Rattus norvegicus: one gene and its partners. The protein of the gene in region 3 binds, or shares a complex with, the protein of the main gene of each other region. Links are inferred from orthologs where the notes say so. Each region holds a gene or a part of one and is shown on either strand. Other genes may lie near its edges. The genes, in order: Wnk4, Wnk3 and Klhl3.

Region 1 (4,318 bases), on a different chromosome or scaffold from region 3:
AAGCCTGACCCTTTGACTTGCTCTTTTAAACCCCTTCAGGATTTCCCACTCCCCTGGGGGTAAAGTGCATTCACTCCCTCAGACACTCTCTTCTTGAGCTGAAGTTACAAACAACCCCAATTCTGTGATCCCTCCCATTCTGAACTGTCACTCCTGTGGCTCTCCAGCCTGGGAAATCTCCATCCCTCCCCATTTTCACCCTTGAATTTATATTTTTTCAAGACAAAAGTTATTCCTTCCCAACCCTTGGACTGTTAGTCATCCCTTCCGGTGCTCCGGGGCACGGGCCCTATCTTCGAAGTTACCATCAGAACTTTTTTTGTAACCTGTTTACCTCACTCATTGACTCAGTTTCTTTCCCACCCAGACCAGTCTAAATTAAAATAATGCTGGCTGGGGACAGCGGAGGTGTTGGCAAGGGTGGGATAAGGAATTTTCCAGCCTGGAATAGATATCCCCGCCCTGACCACGGTTATACACCCTCTCCCAGGTACCTGAGGAGATTCCGAGAAATGAAGCCCCGAGTCCTTCAGCGCTGGAGTCGCCAGATCCTACGGGGACTTCATTTCTTACATTCCCGAGTGCCCCCCATCCTGCACCGAGATCTCAAATGTGACAATGTCTTCATTACCGGCCCTTCAGGCTCTGTCAAAATCGGAGATCTCGGACTGGCCACGCTCAAGCGCGCCTCCTTTGCCAAGAGCGTCATTGGTGTGTCTCTCCAGCAGGACCCTGGCCATTGTTAGCTCCTTTGCATCAGAAAAGAGCACGGGACCCCTCACTCCACTCCATCAGGGCTTTGGAGAGATAGCGTACTAGGGCGACCCATTTTTCCTGCCCCCAGCACAGGCTTTGGGCAAGAGTTGGTCACCAGCACTCCAGAACTCCTGGGGTTGCTCTTGGGCTATTAAAGCTACCCCCAACCCCCCCCCCCCCTGTGCGATATACCTAAGTGGAGGGAGGAGACCAGGAGAAAGAAGCCTGATCCTTTCTGTGGGTCCAATAGGGACCCCGGAATTCATGGCCCCTGAGATGTATGAGGAAAAGTACGACGAGGCTGTGGATGTGTACGCCTTTGGCATGTGCATGCTGGAGATGGCTACGTCTGAGTATCCCTACTCTGAGTGTCAGAACGCAGCACAAATCTACCGAAAGGTCACTTCGGTGAGAAGGGTGGGGTTTGGGGAAGAAGGGATCCCCAGTGGCCCTCCCATTCTTCTACCCTCTAACTAGCCTGCTAATACATAACATTAGCATACATTATATTAACATATGTGAAGGGTATATATTATACATGTATCAAATTATATATGTGTGTGTATATGTAACACACACACACACACACACACACACACAAACATTTATCCTTAATAAAGCCAGGCCAGACAAAAAGATGCCCTGGAGAAACAGACATATATTGTATGTACATAAACCCTTCACACAAGCTGGTAAGAAGATGTGTATGCTTACAGACAACTTCACATCCAGTCTCAGTAGATCTTTCTAGTTGCCCTACTAGAAGAGCCAGGCAAACTTTCTACCCTCAGGCAAGGTCACACCAACATAGGTGGGGGAATGGGATCTGAAATCAAGTCTTTCCGTACCAGTATCTTCCCCCAACCTGAGCCTGGGCGCCTGCCTGCACTGCAGACTTGCTGAGCGAGGCGGGCGTGGGCAACGGGGGCGGGGGGGGGCTCATGAGATCCCTTCTCTCAGGGCACAAAGCCCAACAGCTTCTACAAAGTGAAGATGCCAGAGGTGAAGGAGATCATTGAAGGCTGCATCCGCACGGATAAGAATGAGAGGTGGGGTCCGGGACAGAGACGGGATGAAGATGACCGGGCAGTGGCAGCGGGCTCCGCTCACTGCCCCCACGGTCCCCAGGTTCACTATCCAGGATCTTCTGACCCACGCGTTCTTCCGCGAGGAACGTGGTGTGCATGTGGAGCTGGCAGAGGAAGATGATGGAGAGAAGCCGGGTCTCAAACTCTGGCTGCGCATGGAGGACGCACGACGCGGGGGGCGCCCAAGGGACAACCAGGCCATCGAGTTCCTGTTCCAGCTCGGTCGGGATGCAGCGGAAGAGGTGGCTCAGGAGATGGTGAGGAGAGTATAGATAATCCTACTTGGGTGGAGTGTGTAAAGGGTTCAGCCAGCCTGCCATCAGTCAACAGGAGGGGTCAAGGTGCAGCGCTAGAGTAGCGAGCGGAGGCTCCTACTCAGAGCTGCAGCTCCAACAGGGGTCTCTCCGCCTCTTCTGCCCTAATCCACCAGCGCACGCCAGGGTTCTCCCCCAGAACAAATCCGGGAAACCCTAACGTCACTTCTTTGCACGCAGATTCATTTTTTCATTTATCACGGGAATGCCCTTCTTGGCAACTTATCTATTTATTTTTCCCTCTCCCCCTTCTTTGTCTCTATGCTTAGCACCATCCGTTCCAGGACGCTCACTCCTCCTGTGTAAACGCTGAATGCTTCTTTTCAAATCTGGGGGCGGGCGGGGGGGGGGGGCTCGAAACCACCTCAAACCTTGGGCTTTGTTTTATACCTGAATACATTTCCCATCTCACTCCTCTGCTAGACTAGAAACTATCTGTGGCCAGACAGTATTTTATTGATTTTTTTTTCCCCTCGGTCCTTTACTGTTTGGCAATTAGCAGATGCTTCTTAACATTATATGTGGCTTAAAAAAGAAAGCATTTTTCACGTGACCTTCTTTGGAGGGCTATGGAATGCATGCTTAGAGAGAGTGACTGTCTTGTCTAGAGTCCCAAGAAAACAAATGACAAAGAGGGATGTAATCTCAAGCTGTTCAGATTTGAAATCAGTTGGCCCTACCACATTTCTTTTACTCACCCGGCAAAGCCCACGGCTAAATTGATTTGAATAGGAGAGGGGGAGGTGAGGAGCAGAGATCCGTGGAAGAGAAAGTACTGTGGAGATAGAAGATGCCAGAGCACAACCTTGAAAGCTTGTGAGGAGAACCTGAATGGGCAGAGGGTGAGAATATGGGATTCTCAATAGAGAAATGGCAGTTTCAAGGTCAAGGGTCATCTGTGATGAGTCAAGAAGCTGAGACCATGCTGGCTTAGTGGGGCTCTTTTTTTAAAAAAAAGATTTACTTATTTATTTTATGTATATAAGTACACCATAGCTGTCTTCAGACACACTAGAAGAGGGCATTGGATCCCATTACAGATGGTTGTGAGCCACCATGTGGTTGCTGGGAATTGAACTCAGGACCTCTGGAAGAACAGTCAGTGTTCCTTTTTTTTTTTTTTTTTTCAGGTTCATAATTTATTGTACAAATTGAGTATTACATGATGAGTTCACATCAGCTTCTTCAGGCATGGGACTTAACAGATGAGGCCAGACATTTCAAAATCCATTTATGTTGCTTTCACAGCTGGGGTTTTTTTAGGCCTTAACTTAAAGTATAGGACCAACAAAGCAATGCCTCCATATGTGGCCAGGACACAATTCATTCTACCTGTGAGGGTATAAGAGTTGAAATATTTTTTAATACCAGTGAACTGGAATTGGCCATCACTTTCTGGACCAGCCATGACTTCAATCTTCTTCGTCCGAATCACAAACTCTGCCCAGTCAGTGTTTTTTTTTTTTTTTTTTTTTTGGTTCTTTTTTTCGGAGCTGGGGACCGAATCCAGGGCCTTGCGCTTCCTAGGCAAGCGCTCTACCACTGAGCTAAATCCCCAACCCCCCAGTCAGTGTTCTTAATACCACTGAGCCATCTCTCCAGCCCTGGGGCACTTTTTTTTTTTTTTTTTTAAATCCCAGGAAGCAGAGGTAAATGAATCACTTATGAATCCAGCCAGTGAGCTCCAGGCCATCCAGGCATACACAGTGAGACCCTTTGGCACAAAAGCAATCTCCAGAGCACTGCCCAGCTCAACTCAAGATTCAGTCCTTTAAGAGTGACATCTTGTTTATGTTGTGTGTGACTGTGCATGTATATGTGGGGTCACATGTGCCACAGCATGCGTGTAGAAGTCAGAGGACAACTAGTGGGAGTCAGTTCTCTCCTGCCATCATGTGGGTCCTGGGGGTTAAACTCAAGCCATTAGGCTTGATGGTAGGCACCTTTAAACACAGAGATATTTTGCTGCCTTCAAGATCAAGTCTTGATCTATTATCTGTGAGGGAGCAAGGGATTCCTGTGTGTGTGATGTACCTTTTATGCATGTGGGTATGCACATGAATGCATGTGTACACATGCTTTTGCATGGGTACTGGAGGCTGGAAATCAGGTCTTTCTGATTGCAGTATTATATCCAAAACAACAATGGCAAAGTTTATC
Region 2 (4,318 bases), on a different chromosome or scaffold from region 3:
ATGGGAAGGAATCCTGTTTCAAGAAAGATAGATCACTATGGCACCCCAGGACATTAATAGGAAGAAACTTGAATCACTGTTCCTTTGTTTTCACTGATTGAAGCAAGAAGACAGAATTTGGTAGGATCAGAGTCAATGTTTTCTGACCAATCAGGAGTTAGTCACAGTAGTCTAGCTGATATTTAAGAGAGAAGAGACAGGGTTTGGTAATTGAATGACTGTATGCCTTGGTTAGTGGTGGCTGCTGTTTGTGTATTATTCCTGAATGTTGATCCCTGAAATTGTGCATATGAGCAGTATGGTAGTGTAGGGGACAATTGGCTGTTTGGGCAATTGAATCAGATATGTTGGAATATTTAAGAGTAGACTTATAACCTCTCTGAATCAGTCTTTAAAAAGCATACTATTGTTTTTAAAACAATAATACTCATTACACAACTTAACTAATGAAAAAAAGTACAAATTTTAAGATACCACTTTCAAATCCTACCACCCCAAAATGGTAACTGTTAGATCATTGTCTATGAGTATACATAGGTGCATAGAAATAACTTTATTCAACTGTGATCACACTATATTGCCATTTTGAATCAGAAGCATTAAATTTAATTTCACCTTTGAAGATAGAAAATACTGAAAAGAGATAGCTCAACTTTAAATAATATATTTTGTAACTGAACATATATTGCCATTCATTTTCATGTAAAACTTAAAAAAACACTTTAATCCTAACTTACATTGAGAGTTTCTAACAAAATTATAATTGAAAGTTTAGTTTTAGCTTGAACTAAGGATTTGAGGCTAAAATAATTATTTACATCCATTGGAATCATAATTCCTATGTGCATTACAAATATAATCTCTATACACATGTTTAATTGCAATATTAAACAGGAATATATCTTTTCAGTACTGCCTAAAACACAATTGTCTTGTGATTTTGAGTTTATTTTAGAAGAACGGAGGGCTGAAAAGGCAGCCTAATCAGTACTTTCCATGCCAAGTGTGAGGACTTGAGTTCAGGCCTTAGAACCCATATGAAAAAGCTGGGTGTGTGTGTGTGTGTTACATGCATAACTACCAGCACGGGCAGGAAGAGACAAGTGAATTCTTGAAGATTGCTAACTAACCAGCCTTGCCTATTTAGTGAGCTTCAGGCCAGTGACAGACTCTGCCTCACAAAACAACTTTGATAGCACCTGAGGAATGACCCCCAAAGTAGACTGCTTGCATCCATATACACATGAGTTCACAAGAATAAAAGTAAATGTGTAAGAATATGACAGAAGGGGGTTGGGGATTTAGCTCAGTGGTAGAGCGCTTGCCTAGGAAGCGCAAGGCCCTGGGTTCGGTCCCCAGCTCCGAAAAAAAGAACCAAAAAAAAAAAAAAGAATATGACAGAAGAGCTAGAGAGATTGATGATTCAGGTATTAAAAGCATTGGCTGCTCTTTCCGAAGGCTTGGATTTGATTCCCTGCACAGCCCACATGGTGACTTAATTCTGTCTCCAGTCCCAGATGATTCAGTGCCCTCTTCTGTTCTCCATGGGTTATACATACATACACACATACACACAGGCAAAATGTCCATACAAGCAAAATAAAATAAAAAGAATATAACAGAAGTGTCAAGTTTTAAGATAGTGTAAAGGGAGCAGAGGAGATGTTTATCGAGCATCTACTCTATGTTAGGTCTCCTTGTTACACTAATTATGTTCCTCTGTCTGGAGAATTGTGCAAGATGGTCTATTTCCATCTATGCATACAGTCTAAATGAACATTCATGGCTGGCAGAATGAAGGAAAAGCAAAATAATAGTGTTAGCATGAGTAAATTAGAGACTAAAGTGTGAACAGGGAGTTAATATGGGCCTTGGAGTTATCAGGAGAGGGCTGAAATCCATGTCTGATTTGCTTGGTGACATTGGGTTACTTACTAATTTTAGTTTCTGTTTTCTTATCTGAATAATGGCTATACTGGAAGGCAAGGCAGTTAGGAAGATGAGCTGAAGTAAAGAGTGTTACTCATGCAGACCTCACAGAAAGGTGCTCTACTCAATTTAACAGAAGAAGGAGTGAGGCAAAAAGAATAGGATTGGAGACTGAGAGAAGAATGTGCCAAATGAACTGATATTTTGTTTTTATGTTTGTTTTCATTAGAGCACTCCATCTACTGTGGGATACACATCAACCTGGATTTCTTCTCTCTCCCAAATTCGCGGAGCTGCCCCGTCTTCCTTGCCACATGGACTCCCACTCCCTTCATTTCCTGGGCCATTAGCGTCCTATGGAATGCCTCATGCTTGTCAGTACAATCCCGTAGGCGCCGCAAGCTATCCAGTACAGTGGGTTGGGATTTCGGGAGCAGCACAGCAATCCGTAGTGCTTCCTACCCAATCTGGGGGACTCTTCCAGCCTGGGATGAATCTGCAGTCATTTCCAGCTCCACCAGTGCAGAACCCACCTTCAATCCCTCCTGGTCCCAAATGAGTCCAAGTCAGTGCTGAAGGAAGGGGAGAGAACTTTCAGAACACCTGTGATGCTATACTTTCTTCTTGAGTTCTGCCATATTTTTTCTCATTCATCTCTACTTTAAACTGTGTTTTTTGTTGTTCTAATGTGATATTTGATACAGCTCATCATTCGGTAGTAATGTGCAATTTGCACAAAGAATACTGCACACAGAAATGTTTTTTCACTTCAAATCCTATCCTCTTTGATACTTGATTTTTAAAAAATCCTGTTCCAAATGCTCTACTAGCTCAGCTTAAGTGTTACCATTTCCAAGACACCTCTCCTGTGTGCGGACATGCACTCACCTGCCCGCCCTCTTTTTTATCTGCTACCAGCAGTTGTATGATACTTCTCTTTAACATGTGTTAAAAAAAAAAGTATGTGGATTGGTTCTCCCCAAAATGTGGATGACGTAAGACCCTCCAATAGCCAGTCTTGTGGGATTCGTCATGTCTGTCTTAGGTTTACTTTTCACAGAAGGCAGTAACTGGCTGCAGGATCTGTTTTGGTGTATAAATGTAGTAGACTTTTGTCAAGCAGTACAAAATCTGAGTGTTTTTAAAATGTGATTTTCTCCCCGTCATCACAGCAGGAGGAGTGAGGGCTTGTTTGGAGTGAGGCGGAGGGAAAGGCAAAAGCAGAACTGTAACAGTTCCTTGAACCTACAGCTACCAGAGCTGCTTCTGGGTTTCAGTCATAACCCAAAGCAGCCACCTTTTCTCATGTGCACACCGCTTTGGTTTGGAGCATCCGCGAGGCACTGGTTTGGCTTGCATTCTTTCGCTAGGCATTGCAGCTGATGTGAATCTCATTTGGGGGGGTAATCCTTGTAATCCTAACCAAGGAGATTCAGGTTAACACTTCTGTTAATCCATTCTTCTAAAGCGAAATGTACTTGACACACTAGGGTTTGTAGCTTTTGAGACTTTTGCATAAAACACTGGCTTTACAGGGTTCTAAGAGATGTAGGATACACTGTCCTGCAGTGAACTAGTACACCCTAGGATGATATTATTTAAATTGCCTTTAACCTTTTTTGATGACAATGTTTGGGTTGTTATCATTTCTTACTAGTGTCTATAGACTTAGAACATTTTAGATCTTAGATGCGTTTGTCAGCCTCTTGAGAATTTGAGAGACTTCACTGTCAAGTTGCACTTTACTGGGTTTTATCCAGTTTTAGGAGGAGGGAGGCAGTGTCAAAATGTACACCTGTGGTTTTCAGGAAGCTTAACTGTAGTAAATCTTACGTGCTAGTCACAGGGTCACCTAATTTTCAGTCTGTGAAACCCAAATAGAATTTTTACTTGGTATATATCTATATATCAGCTCCTCTGTATACATGTTCAAAGACTTATCATTCACTGAAGCTTTGAAAGTCCTTTCAAATACATGTTTTCCTATTTAGGAATTCTCTTGGTAACCATTCCAACTTGTCTTCGTTTCTCTTAACAGATTTTCTTCCATATTCCTCTAAAACCTTACCCCCATGGGCTTGCCGGGAAGTGAGGAAACTTAATGGGTGTGCTTTATTTTTTCATACAATTTCATACTTTGTGACATTCAGTGCCCCTTTTAAAAGTTGTCTTATGTTGCTTACCTAAAGACCACACCCATCATCACATTTTTGTCTCTGTTCCTGGGGACATTCTGTGGATTGCTATTGATTTAAGAGCCACGGTTTCTTTTCCTAAGACATCATGTTTTGGCTGAGTCCAGATCATATGCACGGATTCCTCAAATTCCTTCCATGGTATTGCTTTGCATTTGAAGTGATTTTTCGGCTACTCATGTAGTTCAAGCTAG
Region 3 (4,995 bases):
TGGGTGTGAGCAGTGACTCTTGTGCTCTTCGCAGCCCGAGGGAGAACGACTCTGGGTCGTGGTCCAGCTGAGAGGACACTGGTGTGTCTGGGGAGACTCACACCTCAGCTGGTTTGAGCCTAGAACGTTACGTCAAGTCCAAGTTATTAGCGCCCGTAGCTTCGATACCTGCGTTCCTTTGCTTGACGACTTGGGCTCTGCGCAGCGCTGAAGAAACTTAGCAGGCCCACGCTGAACGAGTAGCACGGAGCGAGCGTCTTTTCCTACTTACACAGGCGTCATCTGCACCCTCCTAAAGTTCCCACTTACATGAGCACCCAGGAAAGCAGCACCGCTAAGCAGATGATTGGGGAGCACCGAGAAGAAAAGGGGGACCCTTTCAGCTTGTGTAGAGCTCACAATTATTGGAGTTGAGACTCTAGGGAGTGTCTTGCGAATGAAGGACTGAGCATGAGGTCATAGGACACCCAGCGGAAGGCCACTCAGTCAGTGCTGCTCTGGGCCTCCAAAGATGCCCGTCCAAAGATGCGGGGTGTGCTGACGGGTGAGGAGTCCTAGAGCAGGCATGGGCGCTCATGTCTGGCTTTTTCTGTACTGTCAGGGAAGCTTCTGAGTCAGTTTTCACCACTAACTGACCCAATTATCTCCAAGCCCTGGTTCTAGAGGATACACACTTAGCTTCCTGCTTTCCACGAGATTGTTTTTTTAGCCTAAGAAACAAGGCATGCACAAAGCACACTCCTCAGGACATTTAGTTAGGGGGAGATGAACAGTAAGGGTAAGACCCTTTGAAGTTTATGTTGGGGGGGCACCTGTTGTCACGGGTCTGATTTGGGGAGGGCTTTAGAAGACTTACTGCCCTTTCTTAAAGTCTCAAGGATCGGGGTTAGAGGAGCCACTCCAGGTAGGGCCAACATCTAGAGGTTACAGGTTAGCTGGAGAGGGGGGCTCAGCCTGTCTAAGGTTCAGCATGGCAGGCTTTAGAAAGCGATTCTGTTGCGGTGGTCTTTCAGTGTGGCCCAGGGCGACAGCCAGGCAGTGTTCTTGTGGTGATCACTGCCGTGGTCTTTGGCATTTTGTAATACTGGGGGTTTGTTTCCGATGCACCTCCCCGCCCCCTCTGCACAGAACGCATCTGGCTCCGGCCCCCATGTCTAATTCTCCTTACTCATTTCAGTTCTGTGACACCCACCCACCCCAGCCCACTTGTCTTAATGTCACATCTCAGAACTACCGTGGGCTCGGGGAGGGGGAAATCAGGCAGCGCTGGTGTTACTCACGAGTGAATTTCCCCAGGTGGGTAAACTCCATGGCAGGCCACAGAGGGGCCTCCTCATTCCAGCAATCTGGCCAGGCCCACAGACTCACAGCCTAGGAGGAGGAGAGAAGGAGGGGTCAGCTTTTCTCCGGTAGTGAGGATCCGGCTGATCCGTTGTAGTGCAGCAGAGGAGGCCGGAGACTGTGGGGTGGGCTAGTCGCTGAGGCTGGGGATGCCTGAGCAGATGTGGAAGCAGCTGGAAAGGTGGCACAGCCCTTGGGTTGCCGCCGCCGCCGAGGCTTTGGCTGTTCCTAGGAGACAGAGGAGAAGCCAGTCTGCGGGGGAGGGGAAGCGAGTGGGTTGCTGCTTTTAGCAGCTGAAAGGGTTGCAGGGAGCTCTGGGTAAGACATTTTCTAGCACCGTCGCTTCTGCGGTAGAAGCCTGCCGCGAGTAAGTCAGAGGAAGGAGGATTGGGAGGGAAGGAGCTCTCAGTTGCAGCCATGCCGAATCACGGTCGCTGATCAGGGTCCCTCACGGGGCTGCTGGGAGAACCCAGAGAGCAGCGCCAGTTCCCGGGTGCATGCACAGTTTGGTGGCTACTAACCCTGCCGGGCCTCCCACAATGGAGGGCGAAAGGTACGTATGTGTAAGTGTGTTGAGTGCAGTATGCATGTGTAAGCAAACACGAGCTTAAGGTGTAACCACCGACATTTGTTTGCATCAGCTAAGCAGGCTTGCGGATCCTGGCAACTGCAGAATCCCAAAGCAGAGTGGGGACAGACAAGTCTCTTTGGTAAACCTCTTCCAGGGCTCAATGCTCCAGAGACCCGGCTCCTACCAAGGAAAGTCTGGGTTTGCTGGGCAGTGGAGCACACGGAAAGAAGGAACTTCCTGGCCTGTGTTGGGAATAGTCCCGTCTTGTTCCCCAAAGTGTCTGTCTGTGGTGGTGGGGATTTAATGGTATTGCAGGGCTGGCCTCTGAGAGGGAACTTGCCTGGTTCACACCTAAGTGGTTGACTCTTCAAGAACCATGCCGGGTCTGTTACGTGTGTGCTCCTGGACACTGGCTTCTGTGCTGGTGTGGGTAAAGGAAGAACACGGTCAGACGGCATTTGCTCACAACCGGTTTCGTCTGTGTCAAAAAGTTTGAGAGATGCTGCAAGGTCTGTGTCTTACAGGCACCCTTGTTTCTCCCATCACGAAATAGGAACCAACTGAAGGCATTTCAGTCGAGCAGGAGTAGCCGGCCAGGGTTTGTCTCCTGGCAAGCAGGAGCACAGACAGTTTTCATTTATCTGAGGAGCTGATCTTCCCATTGTGAAGGCGCTCAGTGCAGGGCCAAGTTTGGCAGACTACAGAGCAGAAGTCTCTCTGTGCTACCACCTCCTCATCCTCGGGTTGGCGCTGGGGACGGGCTTTACCACGGCTTTACCACGGCTTTACTGTTTTACTGGAGGAGAGAGGATCACAGGGAGAGGCCAGTTCGGCTGTTCCTCTGAGTTGCGAGTTGCTGGTTACATCGGAACAGGCTCCACTAAACCCGTGCCATTGCAGTTGGAGAGTACTTTGACAAATGTGCACAGCTTGTCCCGAGTCGGGGCCCCTGTGAGAACAGGTGTGGCTCATTTCACTCTCCAGTCTGAAAAAGCCTTAGAGACCAGTACTTCGTGATAGTCCCAGTCACAGGAAGAGTCTAGGACGGTGGTTCTCAACCTTCCTAACGATGAGACCGTTTAATACAGTTCCTCATATTGTGGTGACGCCCCCACCCCTCAACCATCGAATTATTTTCATTACGTCATAGCTACAATTTTGCTACTGTTAGGCATCTGTGTTTTCTGATCGTCTTAGGTGACCCCTGTGAGAGGGTCGTTTGACCCCTGCAAAGGGTCGTGACCCATTGTGCTAGGACTTTTTAGACTATAATTCTTGCAGTCTCTTTCTAGGCTCTCTTCCAACAGGAGCCCCCTGAACAACAGGGCATCCTGAGGCCTTGGGGCAGAGGTGGACAGTGTCCTTGCCCTCTCCCAATGGCCTGATAGATGGCAGTGGGAAGGAGTGAGGAAAGGAGTGTAAGGTTCTGGACCGTGTCCGCTCGCGTGACCCTCAGCATATCTAGGCTGAGAGGCTGGCCCGAGGCTGCTGCCATCTCAGCTTTCGGGGGGCAGCGGTCACATCCACAGTCCATCGTTCCTCTTCTGAAGAGCTCCTCACCGGTCTGTGAGGGGAGCTCATGTCTGTGGCTTCTGAGTACACATTTGCTTCTAGTAGAGGTGAGAATTTCCGACATTCACCAGGCCTCCCAGGTCCTTACTTTTTGGTCCCTGTTCTAGGGACAGCTTACAAACCAACCAAACAAGACGCCCCCCATTTGTCTCCTGTCTCTTGTCCCAACGCGCGCCGCTCCACCCACCAAGAGTTACTCTGCCGTCACACTCGCACGCCTTCTCTCCCACCGCAAATCCTCCGATCTTGGAGTTCTTTCCGCTCATTTCTTCCCGTTTTGGTTTTGGGGGAAAAACGCAGCTCTTTAAAAACTCCGCATTGATATTCTTACATTAAAAACTTCTTTTTTGGAGGACTGGGTGGAGATGCTGAGGTAGGGTCTCTCCATGTAGCCCTGGCTGCCCTGGGACTCATTCTGTAGATCAAGTTGGCCTGGAACTCACGGATCTGCCTACCTCTGCCTCCAGAGTGCAGGGATCAAAGGCCCGTGCCACCCCACCTGGCTAAACCTCTTGTCTGTGTTTTAGACCTGAATGCTAGGCCCAGCAGGTCTTTTAGTGTTTCCGTTTTGTGTGACTTACAGGTCCTCAAACTTAGAGATATGTCCTCATAGAAGGATGGTGGCATATACTTTTCAGTATTCCTCACTGACTACTCCATGGCTCTGCCAACAGCAGGTGCTGGGTAGTAATTGTTCAGTTAACTAGTAACGTAAGCCAGTGTTACTTCTTTGAGAGTTCCTTACAGTGTATTTTGGTCATATTCATTTTCCCTTCCTCAGGTACTCCCAGACCCATTCCTACCTTCTTAACCCATCCAGCTCTCTCTCTCTCTCTCTCTCTCTCTCTCTCTCTCTCTCTCTCTCTCTCTTCCCCCAGTTTGTGTTACCCAGTTACTATTGGTGTGAGGCCTGCCCTGGAGTGTGGACAGTATACCAGCTATCAAACCCCCTGTCTCCTGCCACCTATCAGATGCTAGTATCTCTCCAGTTGGGGGTGGACTTTGTGGTTCCTCTGGCTCCCCCGTTGGGATTTTTGTCTGTCTTGGGCTCACATCGATCTCGTGCATGCCGTCACGATTGCCATGAGCTCATGTGTGCAGCTGCCTTCTCATCTGGGAAAATGGTTTCCTTGAACCCTTCCACCAGCTCTGCTCTTCCACCCCTCACACTCTCTCCATGGAGATGCCTGAGCTCTGGGAGGAGAGGCTGTGACACAGACACCCCGTTCTCTCTTGTTCTCTGGATCTCAGCCTTAGCTGGTGACTTTCGTGAGCAGCTCTAACTAAAGAGGTGAGAGATGTAGACCTTGGGCAGCCTTGGCTCCCTGGACAGCCTTGGTTACCAAGCTGGCTATCTCAGCCTCATTTGAAACCTTTGGGATGAAGGAAGAGACGGACGTAGCTTTGGTTTATAAGTTTCCTGGAAACCAAGGCTGAAAGCCCAGTGATTGGCTCGGGTCACGAGTCCGACCTCCAGGGACTAGAGGAGTTCTTGCATCTCGTGCTTGCTC

What was found.
Region 1: the proteins of Klhl3 (region 3) and Wnk4 are in contact, whole or in part, in a crystal structure (PDB 4CH9), measured with the Homo sapiens proteins. The link is inferred for Rattus norvegicus from reciprocal best matches to the Homo sapiens genes KLHL3 and WNK4. Residues at the interface, in NP_059111.2 of Homo sapiens: Arg339, Phe355, Gly357, Ser358, Leu359, Arg360, Thr386, Phe402, Gly404, Gly407, Ser432, Tyr449, Gly451, Ser481, His498, Arg528, Tyr577; in NP_115763.2 of Homo sapiens: Glu557, Pro558, Glu559, Glu560, Pro561, Glu562, Ala563, Asp564, Gln565.
Region 2: the proteins of Klhl3 (region 3) and Wnk3 are in contact, whole or in part, in a crystal structure (PDB 5NKP), measured with the Homo sapiens proteins. The link is inferred for Rattus norvegicus from reciprocal best matches to the Homo sapiens genes KLHL3 and WNK3. Residues at the interface, in NP_059111.2 of Homo sapiens: Lys312, Arg339, Phe355, Gly357, Arg360, Thr386, Phe402, Gly404, Ser405, Gly407, Ser432, Ser433, Tyr449, Gly451, Arg454, Cys456, Ser481, His498, Arg528, Tyr577; in NP_065973.2 of Homo sapiens: Glu537, Cys538, Glu539, Glu540, Thr541, Glu542, Val543, Asp544, Gln545, His546.

The regions. Positions count from the first base shown.
Region 1 is NC_086028.1:86,705,587-86,709,904, forward strand, and holds part of Wnk4 (serine/threonine-protein kinase WNK4), read left to right. Parts: intron 1-490; coding exon 491-711; intron 712-1,006; coding exon 1,007-1,164; intron 1,165-1,716; coding exon 1,717-1,805; intron 1,806-1,884; coding exon 1,885-2,101; intron 2,102-4,318. UniProt on the Homo sapiens protein: Serine/threonine-protein kinase component of the WNK4-SPAK/OSR1 kinase cascade, which acts as a key regulator of ion transport in the distal nephron and blood pressure.
Region 2 is NC_086039.1:23,734,717-23,739,034, forward strand, and holds part of Wnk3 (serine/threonine-protein kinase WNK3), read left to right. Parts: intron 1-2,158; coding exon 2,159-2,488; 3' UTR 2,489-4,318.
Region 3 is NC_086035.1:6,526,726-6,531,720, forward strand, and holds the start of Klhl3 (kelch-like protein 3), read left to right. Parts: upstream 1-1,761; 5' UTR 1,762-1,838; coding exon of another isoform or gene 1,839-1,880; coding exon 1,881-1,894; intron 1,895-4,995. UniProt on the Homo sapiens protein: Substrate-specific adapter of a BCR (BTB-CUL3-RBX1) E3 ubiquitin ligase complex that acts as a regulator of ion transport in the distal nephron.